Zea mays: one gene and its partners. The protein of the gene in region 2 binds, or shares a complex with, the protein of the main gene of each other region. Links are inferred from orthologs where the notes say so. Each region holds a gene or a part of one and is shown on either strand. Other genes may lie near its edges.

Evidence for each region. Proteins that work in one complex are often made in the same cells at the same time.
Region 1: Probable chlorophyll(ide) b reductase NYC1, chloroplastic (region 2) and 7-hydroxymethyl chlorophyll a reductase, chloroplastic share a complex: the UniProt entries of both Arabidopsis thaliana proteins name them as parts of the SGR1-CCE-LHCII complex. The link is inferred for Zea mays from reciprocal best matches to the Arabidopsis thaliana genes NYC1 and HCAR.
Region 3: Probable chlorophyll(ide) b reductase NYC1, chloroplastic (region 2) and uncharacterized protein LOC100272914 share a complex: the UniProt entries of both Arabidopsis thaliana proteins name them as parts of the SGR1-CCE-LHCII complex. The link is inferred for Zea mays from reciprocal best matches to the Arabidopsis thaliana genes NYC1 and ACD2.

Annotation. Positions count from the first base shown.
Region 1 is NC_050096.1:206,309,399-206,316,226, reverse strand, and holds the start of 7-hydroxymethyl chlorophyll a reductase, chloroplastic, read right to left. Parts: upstream 3,886-6,828; 5' UTR 3,782-3,885; coding exon 3,570-3,781; intron 3,463-3,569; coding exon 3,378-3,462; intron 2,899-3,377; coding exon 2,790-2,898; intron 2,537-2,789; coding exon 2,452-2,536; intron 2,354-2,451; coding exon 2,312-2,353; intron 2,098-2,311; coding exon 2,019-2,097; intron 1,604-2,018; coding exon 1,552-1,603; intron 1,457-1,551; coding exon 1,394-1,456; intron 1,301-1,393; coding exon 1,203-1,300; intron 985-1,202; coding exon 949-984; intron 868-948; coding exon 806-867; intron 709-805; coding exon 681-708; intron 267-680; coding exon 187-266; intron 112-186; coding exon 42-111; intron 1-41. UniProt on the Arabidopsis thaliana protein: Probable iron-sulfur flavoprotein that converts 7-hydroxymethyl chlorophyll a to chlorophyll a using ferredoxin as a reducing equivalent. Catalyzes the reduction of a hydroxymethyl group to a methyl group. Belongs to the chlorophyll catabolic enzymes (CCEs).
Region 2 is NC_050098.1:2,268,831-2,275,658, forward strand, and holds the start of Probable chlorophyll(ide) b reductase NYC1, chloroplastic, read right to left. Parts: upstream 3,957-6,828; 5' UTR 3,792-3,956; coding exon 3,453-3,791; intron 3,117-3,452; coding exon 3,038-3,116; intron 2,937-3,037; coding exon 2,801-2,936; intron 2,462-2,800; coding exon 2,387-2,461; intron 2,280-2,386; coding exon 2,084-2,279; intron 1,828-2,083; coding exon 1,759-1,827; intron 1,623-1,758; coding exon 1,483-1,622; intron 1,336-1,482; coding exon 1,213-1,335; intron 644-1,212; coding exon 451-643; intron 147-450; coding exon 1-146. UniProt on the Arabidopsis thaliana protein: Involved in chlorophyll b degradation. Belongs to the chlorophyll catabolic enzymes (CCEs).
Region 3 is NC_050096.1:144,515,511-144,522,338, forward strand, and holds uncharacterized protein LOC100272914, read right to left. Parts: upstream 3,797-6,828; 5' UTR 3,785-3,796; coding exon 3,404-3,784; intron 2,657-3,403; coding exon 2,039-2,656; 3' UTR 1,881-2,038; coding exon of another isoform or gene 1,877-1,880; 3' UTR 1,648-1,876; downstream 1-1,647. UniProt on the Arabidopsis thaliana protein: Catalyzes the key reaction of chlorophyll catabolism, porphyrin macrocycle cleavage of pheophorbide a (pheide a) to a primary fluorescent catabolite (pFCC).

The sequences.
Region 1 (6,828 bases), on a different chromosome or scaffold from region 2:
GTGTGCCAGTTCTATAGCTGCGGATGCAAATGCATGCGTACACTGCTAATTGTAGGTGTGCTTTCCAGAAGGCCAGCTACCAGGTTCAGCATCTCCTGTCCACGATCGTTCCTGAAGGGATAGAGTTCCAATGATGCTCACCAGGGTACTGTTTACAATATAATTGCACAATCCTACTCGCTCTACCTGACTGTAATGTACTGAGGATGCTGTGTCATGGAGACCCCAGCATATTTCGGTACTCCCATATACCCCACCACTAAATCCTGCAGACATTTAACCAAACAACATAGTGACTCTGAGCTGTTTGTCTGCTCCAAGAGAGCAGACTGAAGACATATACCAAGATAACAGATGATATCTCACAACAAATGCTATTCTGAACATGAAGGTTGAAGAGGCACCCAGGCAACTCGAGGTCAAGAGAATTAGTTCAGCTATGTTAGTGCGTAATAATAAGAACGACACAGTCCACGTCATGCAACACATAGATGATTCAGTCTAGTGTGTTTCAGGATTATTCCATCTTTTCTAAACGACACGTGATCCAATCATTTCTATTTGTGCAGATGAGCACTAGGAAGTACAACTTCTGTCTATTTGTGCAGATGAGCACTAGAAAGAAAGTTCCTATTCAAAACAAGGGACCCTATTCAAATTCAAAATGATGGAAACCTTACCGCCAAGCCATTTGTGTAGTCAAAGCAGCTGCAATTGGTATAAGCAAATCATTAGCTCACCTGTGAACGGCCAATAAAAGTTTTGGAAAAGAAACTAACAACCCGATATACTGAATAGAGAATACCTATAGCATGACGGTGCAATAACATCTACCAGGTCGTTTGCTGGCAGGCAAAAATAAGGAACCTGCAAAAATTAGGCCCTGACTTAAATAGTTCCATTGTAGAATCCATAAAGCCTCAGAATTATTGGCAAACAAATATTTACCTCTTCAATGTGCCCATCTAAATGCTTTAGATGCACCTGTAAATATTCTCAGTTATACAATGTGATCATACATAAAAAAAATCTAAGGAAAATCATGGCAATTCTGTAAATGCCATGTGTTCTTGTGTTGATCCTAAAACTGCTCCTTGAGCTGTTGATATGGAAAACTGTATTCCTATCCTATTGATTATCCATACATGAACCTACCAATGTGGGAAAAAGAATGTATGCAGCTAATTATTTCAATGTCATACCTTATAGTCTTGCATAAATTCATAATGCATAACAGTTTCTGGCTCACTGCTTGCCGCTTTCAAGAATTTATCAAGCCCTTCACGCGTACCATTGTCAACTAAGAAAAATACAGTATGTTAGAGCTACAATATTATCTTCCACGACAGAAAATGTAAATATTGACTGGTTTGAGAGGAGAAATGGAAATTACCACAGTTTGTTCCAAGCACATAAAGCTTTTCCAAACCAAGGTACTTTTCTACAGATCTCAAAGCTGTAGTTCAAACAATAACTTTAGCAACTTTTACTTTTACATTTGATAAAACATCAGCAATAGAAAGAGAAGAAAGGCCAGGTAAAGGAAAAGACCTTGCACTTGACAGCCCACACCGCAGAAAAGAAGCCGCTTTACACCAGCTGCCTGCCAAAGGAAACTGTGAAACTCTCTGGATTTATAAACTGGTCACTATAGGATATCATATGTATTGTTATGGTTGGAGGGATGATTGGAATAGGCTTTGGAACCCACTAGAATGTGGGGCTACTCCAGATTTAATAGGCTAATAGAATTACATTTGCGGTCTTGCCAAGCAACAAATTCAAATATAATTGAACTACTTCTAATTCTCTTGAATTGGGAAATGGGAACGAATATCTGGATCAATTAACCCTAAATTAATATTAGGACAGCTGATTCTCTCTGACTCTCAGAGATCTGCTGATATGACCCATTATTACTTCTATATGTTATAAGAAAGGGAAAGGAGGCATGGCACCATAGCTTGCATCAAGAATAAGGGGGCATGGGAAGTATAGAGTTAAAAGGAGCGACTTACCTCGACTAAGGCAAGTGTATTGAGATTTGGTGATAATGTTGGCTTCACACCTTTGGCTGCAATTACTTCGTCTGGTGTCCTACAAGAGCATGGCTACTGAGATTAAATGTCACTTCCATTCTAGAAATCAAGGGACATAATGATTAGCATGAGTAATTCATGGATGGACTGATAACAAAAGTTTAAGCTCAAAATAGTTACAGAAAGTCTGGAATTGCAAAAGTATATCCAGTCAAGGAGTGTTATACACAAGCCATAAAGGACAATTCTGAAAGCCATCAGTTTCACAATACCTGGCCAAAACAGGTCTTGGAGCAAGCCTGTCGTCAGGATCACTGCAGAGGGGGTAAAAAACATTATTTGAATCCATGTGGTAATGCTTGTGCATAGCACTGAGAAAGAATGATGTGGCATTTGATTCTTGTTTGGGTGCCTTTGTACACAAACCACAGCATCAACCATGTTTGCTTTCAGCATCTCGACAGCGATTGTTGTCACTATTCCCGTCCACTGGGCTCCTGTTGCATGTGAGGCACATATATGTTACAGGGTACAAAACATAAGTCGTCAGGGTACAGTTTTGTCTAACAAAGGTTTGTTGAGTATATCAAGATAGTGTAGGAAATAAGATGCAACATTCGAGGTGTATGTGGTTTCGGTTTGTTATGGAAGGGCAGTGAACAAGACTGGTATATTGCATATGTGTGCTTCCTTAGATGGATGCAGGCGGTTGTTGAAGGATAAGAACAACTTGTAAAAGGTAATTAGTACCTTCAACAGGTTCGGTCTTCCTGGCATACAAGAGTTGGTCATAGACTCCAAAGTACATTTCATCCATGCCTTCCTTCCGGCCTCTCCCGTGGACTTGTCGCTCAAGATCCTAAATATAGTGAGGAGAGTGTTGGCATCTGTAAATTTGTGTCAACTTTTTTTAGGAAACAGGAGAGTTCCCCGCTTTATTTCACTGAAACAAAGTGTAGAATTCATGTCGAGCATTACTACTCCCTCGGTCTAAATTATAGTTCACTTTAGCTTTATTCTAAATCAAAACTTCTTTTAACTTTGACTTGACCTAAGTATTTTATAAAAAAATATACTCCCTCTGTATATGTTCAAATAAACTATCAAGACATTTTTCACGAAGAAATTGATGAAATCATTTTGATATTGTAGATGGTCTCTATGAACTTGGTCAGAGTTAGAAAAGTTGAACTATAACTTTCGACGGAGGGAGTAACTGCGTGCAGCACTGCAGCCCATGGCTTGATCAAACATCAGACGATCATTTTTGTTTTCATTCAGCAAACTGTTTGAGCCGTTCTAGGCAGGTGATGTGATGCGAAGATGAAGGGAGGTGACCTCGACACGGGACATGCCGTCTCCCAGGAAGGCACAGGCAGTCTTGACATGCGCAACGTAGTATGTGTCGCAGAGCCCACAACGGCTTGAATCGCCATACGAGTAGAAATAGGAACAGAGGTAAGCATCGCATATTCGCATCACATAAACACACAAACAAACAAAGAAATGCGCAGCACAGCAGGCATATACCTGCAGTGGTCCTTGGCAGGGTAGACGGCGCCAGGAGGGATGGGCTTGGATTTCTGCCTCCAGTCCTCCCTGACCGCCTTGGCCCTGATCTTGCGCGTTCTCTCGGACCTGGAGGACGAGGAGGAGGCGAGGGAGGGTCGGCGGAGTCCAGGAGACGAGGACGAGGGCGACGAGGCGTGCAAGCAAAGGGAGAGGGAGGTGCTGGAGGCCATGGTGGCGGAGATCGTCTCACCTCAGTACCTCACCGGTGATAAGACGGAGGATCGAGTGGAGATGGAGGAGTCATGCCTTGAGCCTTTAAGAGAAACTACTGTTACTGGGCCACCTCATGAATTTCGGCTCATGTCCACCCTTTGAGGAAAATTCGGAGCCTGCAAAATGTCCACCCATCGATGCATAGTGCATCTTTTTGGTTTTCATATTTAAAAATATTCAAAATTCAACACTATACCCCGGATAAAAAGTTAACAGAAATTATGCCGCCCATATATGTATTTTTTTACTTCGTAGTCCCTCCTTTTGGTGGGACGACGATCCGTACTCTTAGATTGTCTTCAACACCTTACTCATCATATCTCATATCTCAACCGCTATTTTAAACTTAACTCTTATAAACAGTAGTATACAATATAAAATAATTTTTTACGCGATCATATATATGACTAGGTTCATGCCCATGCGTTGCTACGAAAGTAAAAAAAATAGTATAAAACATAGATACGAAACGATAAACAACATTATGATATGCAAAATCTATGTGGCAAAATATCACTGTAAAACTATTATATTGGCGAGATAAATATGTAATCTTATTATAGCTAATTGCACGTGCGTTGTTACGGTTTCTATATATCAAACAATTAGACTTTATTTTAACAAATCACGAAAACATGTGGGTTCTGTTGGTTAGATGAAGGTGGATGTACAACAAACAAATATTCAAACCACTACCTATTGATAGACTTTGTTTTACAAAACACAAAATATATATCTTCTGTTGGTTAGATGGGTGTGGATGTAAATCCAATAAAGGCCCAAACTACTATTTATGTGTAATTGTACCTAATTTTTGCATAAAGTAGTAATTTTATCTAATTTTTTCATAAAGTGGTAAAGATGACCACTATTTATGTGTAATTGTACCTAATTTTTGCATAAAGTAGTAATTTTATCTAATTTGTTCATAAAGTGGTAAAGATGATCTACGTTGAAACCAGAAAAACTAAGCATTCTTTTTTGCCTTAGCAGAATCTATCAGCACACATCACGCGATTCCAGTCCACCACGTATATATGGAGCAATAGCTTGCCAGTGAACTCATCTCTCGCATGTTATTTCACTCTTCAGTTTAAAATCTGATAGATTGTTTGAGCTAACTCGAGCTCTGCTTCAGATGTTTTGTAGTTAAAATCTGACACGAGACATATATCATATGCAATGGGCACAGATTCTGAATCCTTCCATGTGTTACACATTCTCACAGCGAAGCACAAAACACATGATGTACAATGCACACAGATCTCCCAGGTAGCTAATGACTGCAGAATTTATTCCTGCAACTGAAAGCAACCATTTGTCCATCTCGGTGTGCAGCAAACACATTTGTTCATAGGCGTCCCGTTGCGCGACCACTTGATCCTCATAGTGAAGTAGACCTTGGCAGCGGCGGCCTTAACAATGGTGACCCTAGCCGAGATGAGCACCTTGGTCTTGATCCTGTCCACCTTCACGTGAGGCGGCCCTCGCCTAGCATACCTGACACCGTGGCGTCAAACCACAACTCAGAGACAACGGGAACTCGTAGTTGGTATTCTCGCATGGGAACATACCCACAGGGAGGTTGTGCTAAGCAGGTCCACCAGTGGCTTCTGCATCTTGCCCTTCAACTTTTTCACCAGCCATTCCACTCCATCCCCGACGCTGGTCGAGAGTGACTGCATGTAGTTAGAGCTAGGAAACATCAGCGACGCAATCAGCAAAGAAGAGACAAGACAAGGGCACAAGCGTTTTTCCCTTTGTTCCCCCCATCTGAATTAGGGGGAACAAAGGGTAAAAACCTGACAAGATAAACAAATTACAGAGATCGGAGTTATTCATTCATGGATGCTCTAACTTTTAAAATCACTAACCGATCCATCCATGATTGTTCTAACTTTGAGCTGGTCTATTCATGAGAGGGCGCAGGGACAAACAGGCTGCGTGTGAATGCTAGACGATGCTAGAACAAAAAGAAACCGAACAATTGATGAGCTACAAGAAAGAGCAGGGATGGGATGGTTTTGTCTCACAGACTTCAAGGTCGTCGCCTGCCGAGATCTCCTTGTTGGCCGGTGGCCCCATCCAGTAAACACCCACCTTGTTCATGATCTCGTCCATCTCTTGTTGTCTTCCTCTCTCAGACAGGCAAGCGACCCTGGTGATCTCTCTTCTGTTGTCGCTGCTCCGGTGCCCCCTCCTTCGTGCAATCTCTTTGCTCTGATTCGGTTAGTTTCTTTGCTATGCGGAGACGGATAAGAAAAGAATCTAGGGTGAGCAGTACTATCTGATCTCATATTAACCTCAAATGTTTAAAATAGATGAGTGAACAGGCAACCACAAATAGATATTGCAATAGTATAAACATATGAACCTCAGCATTATTTTTGGAAGAAGATCTGGATAGGTCTTCTTTCACATATGAAAGTTCCGTCTTAAGAGTTTTCTTCTCCCTTTTTGAGCTTTCAGATAATCGATGCAAATTCCCTTATCAATTCCTTCGCGGATGATATTGATGATTCTGTACTGATCCTAGAACCGGTCTATTGAATTGTACAGGGATTAGCATGAAGCATGTCACTATTCATGTCCACTGATAAAAAATATGATATTATCGAAGTGTAGTTTAAATATGGCTGTAAACACTAATTCATAGATCTGACATAGGATTACCACCATGACATTGCATAATAAAAACACATGTTCTATGCTACCTCCACCCCGAGAAAGGGACACAATGCACTGAAAGGAAACAACGCCCTAACAAACATGAAGCATGATACTTGTTGTATCAACCCAGAGCAATTTCAATGCTATATATGATGCAATTGTAAATATGGCAGACATGAGGAAGTCAAGGCACTCCTGCATTGAAGTTCCTTGCAAGGAATAGATGGATATAACAAATGAAAATATATAGATCATGTGTCAAAAGAGGGTTTCCGCCAAAAAGAATATAACAAAGGGTAAAAGATAACCTCAAGTTCGTTTATTTTCTTTACTT
Region 2 (6,828 bases):
ATGAACGCACAGACCACCGAGAGCGAGAATACGGAAACCCATGTGTTTTCCGTGTACATCTCCATGGCGTCGGTGAACGAGAAGCGTGCTCGACTTTCAGCCCAGTTGCGAATTCTATCAGCTTCAGCTGCATACACCGCTCTTCCCTGTAATAACGGGATAAATGATTGATCATATGACTCAGAGCACAATAAAAGGCAGAGAAAATTAATATAAACTTCAGTATGCTATGGCAGGACACCCTAAACAATCGCTGTATAGTTACGAGGGCACAAGCAGCTGGCAGCAATTAAAGCTCTAAGGAGCAATGGTATAGTGCAAAAAATTATTCAAACACATCTACTACTAACCATTGATATTACTAAATAAAATATAAACCTAGGACAACTGACACTATTGGATTCCTACGTGTAAGTTAGTATTTAGTATAAAATAACTAGATCTGTGTACCTCGTCGTCAAACCATCGACCCCGTCGAACCCATGCAGTAACCAGAGCAAGCAAGATCCTTGGTGGTGTTAAGTAGTTGATTGCCTTTCCACTTCCTTTTACAACTCTCATCCTTGGAACCAAAGTTCTGGCTACTGTTTCTGGAAGTTCACATATTAAATTGAACATCTGTTTATTTCTGAGCGATGAACCACTGCAAAGAAACAGGTAGTCAGTAAAGAAGAAGAATCATGATTCCAACATGTCACAGTAAGAGGGTTCATCAGATCATAGGTGAGTAGTCTGCAAAAGAAGTAATTCACATTTACACATATAGCAAAACTAGACAAGAACTACTAAGGCTATGTTTGGTCTTTCTGTTATCATAGTTATTTACTTATTTAAGCATGTTGTAGACTCATAGCTAAAACATGTCTCACTAATTAATTTCATATATAGAGAAACAACTAATTCACATAGCTATGGAATATATATTCTAGTATTCTACAGCACCAGACTATGCCGATTTGTGCCAAGGTAATCTCAGAAACATCTACACAGCTTGACATTTGATGTGTTATGCATATGTATGCAAAGAAGCACAAAGTCAAACCGTGTCCTCAAATTGTTAATTGTTACACGATACTCTGCAGTTTAGAAATTATGAACATTTGGGCCAAGTCAAATGCAATATTATTCTTATATCAGACAGTCAACGTATATGAAGTTCACAGCGACCTTTACAAATCATATAATGACAACTGATAAGTATGGAGAGCTTACCTTAACAGAAGGTCTGTGAGGACCATACCAGGTGAAGCAGTATGCACTCCAACTTTTGATCTTCTGCTTTCGTTCAGAAGTGATCCTTGGAACTGCTTTAGTCCACATTTAGTTGAACCATAGCTACAAATTTGAGTTCAGCATCAGATCTCGCTTCATAACATAAAGAACTCCAATACAGGACACTCAAGTTTTAGCAACAAAAAACACACATCTATACAGTAGAAGCTATAAAGAAGCAACAGAGTATTCGAAAGCTAAGATGCTTACACAGCTGTTAGTGGTGTGCTTGATCCTCCAGAACCTGCTCCATCCATGTTGAATATATGGCCTCCCTTCTCTTGGTATTGCATGACATTCATGGCTTCTCTGGTGCACAGTAGAGAACCAACTAGGTTTGTTGAGACGATCTGTAACAACATGAAATAGATCAGAATAAATTAATAAAAAGATGGAAATAAGGTAGCATGATTAAGCCAGGTCCTCTGATCAATGATACATACATAAAAAATGATAAAAACACAACATAATATAACAATAACGAACCTGAGTGATGTCATCATCTGAAAAGGTTACCAATGGCCTAAAACCTTTATTTGTGCCAGCGTTATTTATCTGCACACAAGGTTGGAGAAGAAGTGGTAAATAATATTCTTCTTTGATGTAGCCATAGAACCATACAGAAAAGCATAAAAGTGGGCACCACAAAATCTATCTTAATGTCATCATATATATAAAGTACATTTCACAACTGATGTAAATGTTATAAACTCTGTATAATCCAACTTTACTTAAATATTTCTTTAGCAAAACAAAAGGTAGACCAAATAAGATATAGATTTAAGCTACAAAACTGTAATGAATTACCTACCCAAATATCAACTGAACCAAGCTCATTAATAGCAAAATTCACTAACTCCTTCACATCTTCAGGTTTACAGACATCACAATCTGTACCAACAACCTTGGCATGCGATAGAATATTCCTCTGCTTCTTTTTGGCAACAGATAACCCTTCCTGTATGTTCTCTTCAAGTTCTTTTATAGTCTGAAGGACTGATTCAGGACTGCCATCACAAAAAGAAAATATTTAAAACTAAAATAAAGCATAAAGCTCCATAAGGAAAAAGTATGAAACCTTGTAGAACTAGACTAAAGTTCTCATGAATATCACCTTCGTGAAGTAATTACAACACGGTCTCCAGAAAGAAGAAACTCACGAGCAAGCGCTTTTCCTAACCCTCTTGTGCTGGAATTTTTTTATAACAAAAAAAAAAAAACTGATGTCAATGCTAATTGCCGAAATAAGAAACAACAGTATGAAATAACCTATCCAATGGCCGTGAGCAGTGAAACTGCAAAAACTTGAAAAACACAGCCAAACTTTATTTCCTTCTTAAGTAGCTAAATCCATTAACCTCGACAGTTTCTGTTTTCTAGAGTGATTTCATATGCTATCAATAATATGCTGTGCAATACTTTTCTTACAGGGCAAGTCAGCTAATAAATGAAAATTGAAAAATGGTGCATACAGAGTCCTGGAAAATTTTGCAGAAGGCATCTTGAACGAAGGATGGAAACAAGGTACCTTCCAGTTATGACGACATTGCGAGGTCCAGCTTTGCAGTGTTCCTCTAGGACACTGTTTGCACCTATCATTGTGCCGATAATCACCCCACCAAGCCAGCTATACCAAATTAGTTCGTTCATTTGGCTGTCTCCACCTGGGTGAGGGGTTTAAAAAAAATAGTCCGTCTAATTAAATTGGAATTTCAGGAAAAGGCCAAGAGTGAAATGAAACGAGAGGCATAAACGTATGGCAAACCTGACAGCTGGAATCCAACCCCAAGTACAACACCGCTGCTCATCATAGTGATAACATATCTGCCTAGCTGAGTAGTAACCTGCGAGAAGGTGACTGAGATCAGCAAACATATAAGAAACCCTTATGCACAGGAGAAATGGAATAAGAGAAATATACGACTTGGTATGGTGGACTGCAAGCCTGGATCACATGCAACAATGAACAAACCCTTGTTTGTTCATGATGCCACGGTTTAAGGTACTAAGGCTGTAATTAGCGAGCACTGGACATTTATTTGCGTTCCTGATAGTAGTACTCCAGCATAGTTAGGCAATTCATTCAGGTGTGTGTGTGAGCAAACAGATAAGCGTGGTGACTGGTGAGGGTGGGGGGCACGCCGCAAGGATTCGCGAGCGGAGGCCGGTGCGGTGCTCACCGAGAAGAATATCTCCTCCGCCTTCTCGACGGCGCGCTGGTACTGGTACTCTCCCCCGTACACCTCGGCGGCGGCGGAGCGGGATCCCGCGAGGCCCTGGATCGCCGCCTTGAGCTTGTACAGCGGGCCCTTCCTGCGCTTCCGCGCGTCGGCCTCAGCCGGGTCGCCGTCGCCGGCCTCCTGCTTGAACGCGCGGCACCGCAGCAGGGACGGGCGGTGAGCGGACGAGGAAGAGGAGGAGGTGGTGGTGGTGGTGATGGACGGCCGATGCTCCGGTGAGCGGCGGAGGCGGCCGTGGATGGAGAGGTGGGCGACCGCGGCGGCGGCGGCGGCGGCCATGGCGCGGCGTGCAGATAAGGGTTCGCGGCGAATGTCCGTGGGGGATTGGGGTGGTCTCCTGCTGCTAATGTTGCGTGGGGCTTGCTGCTGCTGCTGGATTTTTTGGGGGGGGAGAAGAGGCGTGTGCTCTCCACTGGGCTTTACCAGTGAATAAATATAATAATCGTAGCTTCTTCAGGTTATTGCAGAAAGGACCCTGGACTGGTTTGTGAAGTTCTTTGGGCTCAGATGAACTGGCCGGCGGCCACACGCTGCTGCAACCTCATCCATCCGTCCCATTCGCGCGGATAGGCGCCACGTGGCCGTTCGCTTTGGCTTCAGGGTCCCCAGCGCTGGGCGGATGCGGCTGCACCGAGTCCCTGTCCAGTCCATTCCACGGACACGGAGATAGAGCTCGGACCAGGGCTAGCACACAGATGTCAGCAAAAAAATCAAGTATCTCAGAATCGTCGAAGAAATATCTCAGAATCCTAGACAGATACTTGTAAACGCGTACGTACGTGTCGTTTGAGCATTTTGGCCCATGTTATATTTTTATTTGTCTGCGAACGAGATCTGCACGGGACCTCCGAGCCCCCCCGGATGCCAATGTTTCGTCGTCGTCCAAAACCCTAAACGCAGGAAAAAAATTTGTTGCAGCCCGGCTGCAAACCAGGCTGTTTGCAGCCCCTCACAAAAAGGAGGATAGGTCCCACCCGCAGGTAAATAATACAACTAAAACGTTATCTGGTGGACCTGCAGGTGGGGCCTATCCACCTTTTTGTGAGGGGCTGCAAACAGCCTGGTTTGCAGCCGGGCTGCAACAAATTTTTTTCCCTAAACGCAACTCGTACGTGTTCGGCAGCATCATCTGGTGTTTACGACAGGACAAAACTTGCAGATGCACATTAGTGGCAAAAAATTCCTGTTACACGTACGGCGACGCCAAGCGTGCGCGGTTATTAGAGCAAATAAACACGTGCACGCAACGCAACTCCCGTTAGTCCGGCACGCAAACGCACGCGAGGAGGTGACTCAGCGCTGTGGCTGTGCTGCCGACTCCGTTCGCCTGCTTGGTTTGACCGTCCATCCATCGGTTGAGTTGGCTGCGGCGTGCGCGCGCGGGAGTGCCACGGCAAACGTACGTGCACTGAACCATCGACGATCGTCCTAGCTCGTCGGGCTTTGAGTCAGTGGGTCGGACCCAGAGCAAAAGTAGAGTGACAGCTGCAACGCTGGTCCGGTTCGCTCTAGGGTTATGTAGGCAAATACGTGCTTTGCTCCTGAGGAGTCTCACATCTCTATATAAGCAACTTGTACACCACCTCATAATAGAGATCAGAACTATATTCAGTGTCTCGTGTGTTTCCTCTGTCGTGCTTATGGGAAGGAGACGGGTTCTCTACATCTTCTTGCGCATCTACTGCTGACGGGAGGGAAGAGGACGGATTTGGTGATCCGTGGTAACGTAGTTCTCAACACGCTCTACTGTGCTCCATCTACCACGTACTGCTGCTCTGCCTCGATCGGTGAGTGAGTGGACCCGACGGGCCGCCGGCGCCGGCCGTGCCAACAGGGCGGGATGCACCGCCCGTACTGGTTGCCTGCTGCTTGGCAGGGCGATGCATGAGCGTGGGGCGACGAGAGGATCGGAGGCAATTCAAAAGGCGAGGCCAATTGCTCTCGCTCGTGGCAACAGCAACAGGCCGGAGCTGAGGTTGATAAAAAAAGCATCGGCAGGACCGCAGGAGTGCAGGGCTCATCAGCTGCAGAGATAGAGAAGGCAGAAACAAGAAACACCAGAGGCAGAATGTGAGCATTTACTAACTCGTCTGCAGATCGCATTTGCTCGCTCGCTGGGTCGCTCGTGTGGTCCAGTGGAATTGTTGTACGCACCCCCCATAAAAAAAATTAGAGGCGGTGAATGCTGCTGCTGTGATGTGCTGTATCCTAGCGCGGTAGCGCCTGCTGGCTGCATGCATGCATGCAATGCTGGCTGCACGTCCAGCGACGGGATCCCGGACAGGAGGCCAGGCGAAGCGAAGGCAGCCTGCGCCCTGCGGCGCGGCGTGGTGCAGTGCAGGCCGCCGGCCCGCCGCGCGCAGCTTCCTGGATCATCCTTTTTTTTCCCTGCAAGCAAAGGCTGCTTGCTGCAGCGGCATTCGTTTGGGCCGGCATTAACTGCGGCATATGCGCTCTTTCCAGTTCCTGATTCCTACAGTGCTCTATGCTACACTGGCTAGGTAGGCCTGCCTCTGCCTGTCGTCGAATACGCTACGCATATAGTACTACTACGTACTGTACGTACTATGGCCGTATGGCAACGCGCGCGTACTATACAGTACGTACACAGGGGACAAAGTTAAAGCTACCAGACATGCTATTCATAAATACTGTAGTATTATTACCATCGTTTAGCTTGAACTCTTCCAAAACACACACAAACACACACAGTCAGTGGGCCGGCCTGTTGACTGACGCGTACTACGTCGGCCGTGTCCTGCAGTCACTTTTTTCCTCGATCTGGATGCACGCACCAAACTCACCGGGACCGAGGTGACCTTTCAGACAGAGCGCGCGACGCAGGTGCAGCAGTGAGATTACTGGAGTATACTAGTAGCGCTGTGCGTGGACACCGAGGCTGGCTGGCTGGACGACTAGACAGATCGTTGACAAGGAAGCCAAACACTGGTCAAGCGGGGGCCTCGAGCTCAGCAGCCCACAAACCTAATCCCAACTACTACTAGTACCTCGAGCGGGCAAGACACTTCTTCCACTAGCCATCTAGCATGCATGCATGATTCGGCGAATGCGCCAAGGCCGTCACTTTTTTTCTTTTGTTTTTATTTTCTTTTTCAAAGTCCCCACTCTCCAGGGGTGAAAAGGGCTCAAATCCCAAGCTCGTGAGAGAAAGGAGTGAGACGCCATCTTCCATTCCTTTTTTCCCATTGACCTCTTGCGCGCAGCAGCGATTCTTTTGAGGGGAGGGAAACGCCTGCTTGCTTGCTCAATCGTCGTTTGGATTTTATCGGCATGCGATGCGACCTGGCTAGCAGTA
Region 3 (6,828 bases), on a different chromosome or scaffold from region 2:
GTTCACAATGTCCTCGTAGACATGGTAGTGCAGCAGACATTATTTTTGCAAAAGCCTTCAGACAGATGCAACACACCCCTGTGTAGCTTCGGAGGAAAGTAGATAGTGACACTGGGAAAAATAACAATGTTAATCACTTTCGGCTATGTGCACAACATCAGAATAGAGCAAGTTGTATTTGACATTGTAGACATGGATTATCCTTGCATCGTTTCTCTGCTTCCGCTGTTGCTGATACGACGGGCACGCGGCACGCGGCTGTGGTCATGGTCGAGGCCCATTATGTGGCCATGTCAATCTCGGCCGTCCGTGATCCATCCCGCGCCCGCCAGACTATTTATTGAGGCCATACCATACCGCCTAGCACTACCAGTAGCAGGCTTCCAGGTCCGCCTCTCCACCACCGCACGTTTGGAACTGGAATGGAGCCGTGCTTTTTCGTGGCATATCTATTATGCTGTCTTGTTCTTGCTTCATCTCCTTCTGGCGGGGTTATTGCACATCCAATCTGTTTGTTTCTGTTCCAGTTCGTGATTGTTAGGATTCTGCATGCCGTAATTCGTCTCCCGGCCGATCTGCAGCTGCAGCACGATATGTTTGGAGTTAGTCCCTCTCTCTCTGTTTTTTTTTTTACTCTCGCCCCGTGGTGGTTTGCGTACGTGCCGGTGATGATTCACGCAATTGGTGAATTCTGGATGAATGTTCTGGTGCACAGGCATGGTGATATGCACTTCCAAAGCGTCCATCTGAGGCACTCGTTAAATTCAAATATCTGTTTGAAGCCTGGATTCCCAATTTGCAGTTTTACCTTCAAGCCTTTTTGCTTTCGGTCTCATATTTACTACTTTGCCTTCAAGCTGCCGAGACTTTGGGGTAGCCTTTGTTATAACTTTGCGGTTGCCTTTCTTTCTTTTTTTTTTTCCTTGTCTCCTGTGAGGAGGAAGACGGGATCCAATGTCATGACAATCCCAAAGTAACTATGAACTCATTTCGGCTGGAACTCTCATTTCCTTTTGTACTTGGAAGATGAGATACTCGGACATCTTATCCTCAAACATTTTACTGCTCTGATTAGTTTACTACTTTAAGCTGAATGTTTGAATTCACGCATTCAATTCAAAAAATAGAGAAAAACTCGTCCATGCAATGAGGCACACCGCAACGTGTCACTTTGTTTTAATCCAGGGATTTCCTTGACGTATTATCGTGCACAATTGTATACATACGTGAATTTCATTCTGAAACAGATTTTCATCCTATCGCCAAAGTCCAAAAGTTACTGATGTAAAGTCCAGCAAATGCATAAACCCGAACGGCCGTCACGAACTATGCAACGTCCAGATACGCACAAGACAGTAGCTACTTGTTTGACCCCCCCCCCCCCCCCCCCCTCCGGGATCAAAACAAATTTCATAGGACCGATATTATCGAACATTACTTGTTACCATCATCATGTGCATCCGAGCTCAGGAGTGGCTGCTGCTATGCTAGCTCGCCACAGTTTCGCTTGAACACGGAACAACCTGGTTGTAGTTGTCATTTGAACATATCAGGTACACATAATACTATTATGATGCCATATCCGAACATTGCGAAAAATGGTGATGGAGAGTGTTCTTTGCAAAATACATACAGCGGCAAAGGATAGTAGATCTAACATGGATGGATATTTTTTTAATATGTACACCATATACACCAAAGTTTTATATACATAAAACAAGATGCAGCAAAACACACCGCCATTCAGTACCTCCTTTTTAGGCAGAGCTAATTCTTATGCTTATTGGGTATGTTAGCATCAGGAAGACAGGAACGGCTTAGGAACTCTGTGATGAGAGACTGTTCCTGGAAACCTGGTCCTAACAACTGATCATCTTCACCTGCATAGCTCACTTTCATCATCTCAGTTAGCACTTGGTAGTAATATATACACAACTTTAGCACATATACTTTCGATTGTTCAAATAAGGGGGTTTCATGGACTCACAACAATTTTTCTCTACAATAAAGTAACTACATGCTTGTATTTATGAACGACTTACGGCTCTTGTACACCAAAGGCCTTGCGGATTTCAGTTATGACCCGACTAGACACATCCGGACCAAACATCCTGGGAAGGTTTGCAGTCAGGTCAACCTCTATCGATTTCGACCTTACAATCCGGTCCCTCTTGAGCAGGCAGTCCCTCTCCGCCTCATCCATCTCTATGGTGGAATCAACACAGTTGTCAAGCCAAGTCTGAAGAGCCTCCTGAATGACCTTTGCTAACTGTCCATGTATTATCTCTTCCAAGGCTTTCTCACCCCCTTGTCCACAGTCAATGCTCACCATTATTGCTGTAGGCGAGCATGCGCTGCGCACGAAGAGTGACGGAGATCTGTATGGACGAGCCTGCGGTAGCTCCTCGATCTTTCTGCGCTGCTCATCCATTCCAGTTTCCTCGTAGTACTTCTGCAGGTAGTCCGGGTGAAACGCGAGGTCTTTCCGTGGAAGCAGGTCCAGAATCACCACCATTGAAGTTGAGCTGCCTTGTATGAGCTCCAGTAGGAAATGTGGTGCGTCCGTCGAGGCGTTCAGGAAAATGAGAATTGAGGTGATGTCAATGGCACCGTTCGGGACTTCACAGTGAAGCGAGGACTGCAGCATGAAATCAATCTGTAGACAAGGAGGAAACGCACATCAGGTCCTGTCATCGTTTCTTTTTACTACATCTTACAGCAGTAGCAAACAGGAAGCATGTTAATGCAAGCTTTCTTCCATCCTCGACGACATTGCTGTTTTCAATGACTGAAATCACATATTAAGATTGAACTATCAGCTCAAGGACAACAACATATATGACAGTGATATTCAGATTGGACTGCGATTACAGTTTAAGTTTTGGAAATCACGGGACGGATCATTGCCAGTTTCTTTATCTGGAACTCGGCAGTCTCACAAGTCACAACAATAATCTAAGGGACTCAAATGGAGAACTGTTAGTAACCTACAATTGACAAGATGCTTTGATAGAGTTGCATTAGCAATATTTCCATCTAAAACTTTGACAATTCACCTTGAATGGATCAGTGGACAACAATTATCCAATTGGCGAGAAGTAGGCGGTCAGCAAGTGCACCAAACCATACTGAACTGAAACACAAGCCATTTTTTGGTATTCAATACAGATGCCATATATGGGGTGATGTGTGTATTTGAGTACTATATACCAAGGAAAAATGGTGGAATGCATGATGTGCCGATTCCGAGTCATACTGGAGATCCCATAACCGTATTACGCACAGAGCAGTATAGTAGTATGCCCTTATCTTTTGGTATGCAACCACACGAAAGCTGTATTATACTAACATGGTACGGTACTACCACAAGAAAAAAAAAAATAGGATCACTATTGAACTGTACCGACGAGCCAGGAGAGCCCCGTTGCACGTCGAGCGAGCCGACGGCGTTCCCGGCGGCGTTGCGAAACTCGACGACGTCGGCAGGCACGGCGGACGGCAGCAGCCGCGCGCCCAAACGCGCCACCGCCTGATCCGCGACCACCCGCGCCACCTCCCTCTGGGCCATCTCGGGCGCGCGCTTTACCGTAGAATCCGGCTCCGCCGAGGCGCGCACGGGGCTCGACGTTTTGCCCCTGAGCGGGGGAGGCCGCGAGCGGGCTAGCCGGAGGGCACTGAGGCGAGGGAGAGGACTGGAGAGGAAAGAGTAACCCGAGATCAACGCGGGCGCTGTAGCGTGGCTGGTCGCCGGCAGCAACCGGAGATATTGCTCCAGCCGGAGCATGGAGGGGAAGCTGATTCCTGTCCCGGCGTCGGATAGGGGGAGTAAGAAGACGACGTTACAGACTACAGTGACGTGAGAACTAGCAGGTAGCAGCTACAAAGAGGAGGCAGCGCTATCGCCAATGCACGCACAAAAAAGAATTTACGTGATTATCGGGGTGGATATCGAGCCACTCGGCTCGGCTCGACCGAGCTCGAGCTGGCTCGTTAAGGAAACGAGCTGGCTCGGCTCGGCTCGTTAAGCAACCGAGCCAGAGAATCAGCTCGGCTCGGCTCGTTTGCGAGCTCGAGCTGGCTCGTTTATCTCGCGAGCCAGAACAAAAAATATTATACATGTATATATACAACAATATAATTAATTGCTAGTTAATTTCATACTAATTTAACACTAGAAAAGACTAACAATACTCATAATTTTATATATCACATCATCTAAACCGTAAACTAACATAGTTCATCACTTATTAATTCATCTAATACAAGTATAGGCTTTGTTTTACAGATAAATGCTAGCTCATTCGAGCTAACGAGCTGGCTCGAGCTCGTGTCGAGCTGGCTCGTTAACGAACCGAGCTGAGATGTTAGCTCAGCTCGTGATAAAATTGAAACGAGCCGAGTCGAGTCGAGCCGAGCTGGCCACGAGTCGAGCGAGCTCACGAGCCACGAGTATTTTGCCCAGCCACGATTATCTATTAACTCTAATAACTTGGAGGATAGTTCGGAAAATCGGAAGGTCCATATTTTTTATTGCGTTTAAAAAGGCAAAATGTGTGAAGGAGTGTCTTGGACCTAATTTGGGCGCCAATTACTAATGACCGAAGCGAGATTGTAGATAAGATGTAAAATAAATAACACTATCTCGGATGCGGTCTTGAACTTTATCTCTATCGCTGATTTATAGTACACCACCTCTATGATGACCACCATCTATTTAAAACCAAACACCAATGAAGCCTAGTCACTTCTCGTGACGAGCAATACTTTGGGTTCGGCTCTGCAACGTGAACAGCGATGACGGTCCATGACAGGTCACTGAAAGTAGCCTAGAGAGGGGGTGAATAGGCTACACCTGAAATTTTTCACTAAAAACTTCGAGATATGTCAAATTAAAGTTGCACTGGTGCAAACCGGTTCAGTTGATTTTGTTTACAACTGAACAAGTTTGAACCTGCTCAACTTAGATTAAATAATCAGTTAAACTAATATGACGAAGTAGTGAAAGATTTTGCTAATGACTTTCCCTACAGAAAATCCACTCAAATAAATGAATATAAAACAACCAACAATTTTAGGCACTTGACAAGAACGCACAAGAACATGCGATTTAACCCGAGGTTCGGCAACCACCACAAAGGTGTCCTACTCCTCGCTGAGGAGCCCACAAAGGGCCGGGTCTTTTCCAACCCTAATCCTCCACAAGCCGACCACAAAGGTCAAGGCAATCTCTTCTCAAATTTGCTCAAAGAGCGGGTAATATAAACTTCTTGGGGTCGTCCACAAATTTGGAGACTCCCAAGCAACCTCTAACTGTCAAGGAGCACAAGGCTCCAAGAGTAACAAATCCGCACAAGGTTAAGTTTGCAATGAGCTCAAGAACAAAGAGAATGGGAGAATCAAGATGAAATTGACAGCGCGTTAGATCGACTTCACCTCACACCAAGGATCCTTCAAGCGATTGAAGGAGATGCGATTTCGGGTGTGAGATGTGAATTGAATGCCCTTGTTTGGAGTTTGGTCAGCTGAGAAATCGTGGAGAGAGCAGAAGTAATGAAGAGAGAGAGTGTGGCGGGATTTAAAGGATCCCCAAAAAGCTGGCAGCCGTTGGGAGAAAAGAGCCAAAACCGGTTGAACCGGTTTGTAAACCGGTTGAACCGGTTTGTAAACCGGTTTCCACCAGGAAGATCTCGGTTCACTGATCTACTCAGCCGGGGACTCGACCGGATCCAAAACCGGTTGAGTCGGGAAAAATTTCGGTTGAACCGGTTTCACAAAAATATCTGCAACGATTTTTCTGACAGCTATGACTGTCAGACAGTCAAAGCAGGGGTGGCAGAGAAACAGTCCAAAAACCGGTTGAATCGGTTTCAGGTCCGGTTGAACCGGTTTCAGAGGCTGAAGAGCAAGTTTTGAACATTTTGAAGTGAACAAAGGTGGAACTCTTGTGGGAAGAGAAAATGGTTTTTCACAAAGGTATTCATGATCTGGAAAAGTGTTCTCTAAGATGATTTTGAAGGATTTTGAACCATCGCGGATCCCTCTTAATTGAACGACGATTCCTATAACTCAAGAATTATAAAATGAACACTGTCGTTGTTTCCAAGCACTTGGAGCATGCCATATGATGTAGAATTTAAATCCGCTGTGCTTTACATTTTTATGCTCATAAGATCTGTGCTTCTCCTGTCTGTAGAATAACTGTGTACATGCTAGGAGCAAACTTGTTAGAATCTCTGTTTGTTTTGTCATTTAATCACCAAAACCCTCAATTAGGGTTGATTGCACTTACAGTCACCGGATCGCCTGACGGTGCTTCCGGCGGCAACACGGAATATCTGCGGCCCTGCTGCGGGAGCAGATCTTCCATGCGTGCTGGTCGGACGGTCCGTACCCTGGACCTGATGATCCGCAATGGCGCAGAGGGTCGTTTTCTCCACGAAGAACCCTAAAACTCGCCCCTCGGGAGAAATCCCATTAGGGGGGAGAGTTACAAGGAGTGCCCCGGAATCCGCAGGCCACCCGGGACATCTATGGTCAGAGCATAGAGTAAAAGAGAGATAGTTGTGGTAGGCCACAAATAGATTTAAACTAAGGCTACACTATATCTACTCTTAAGGCATGAAAGATAAATGCAGGTAAATAGATTGGCTCGATTGGAATGTGTTCAGGGTTCTCAATCGTCAGTATCCCTTCATATATAAGGGATGTATGGACCCGTTCCTAAGCGATAACCAGCATATCCCATGTGATTAAATGGATAATCAAACACAAGATAAGTAAAATCGTTTAAGTTAATCTAACCGTGAGGGCGCGAATCATCGGGCCCTA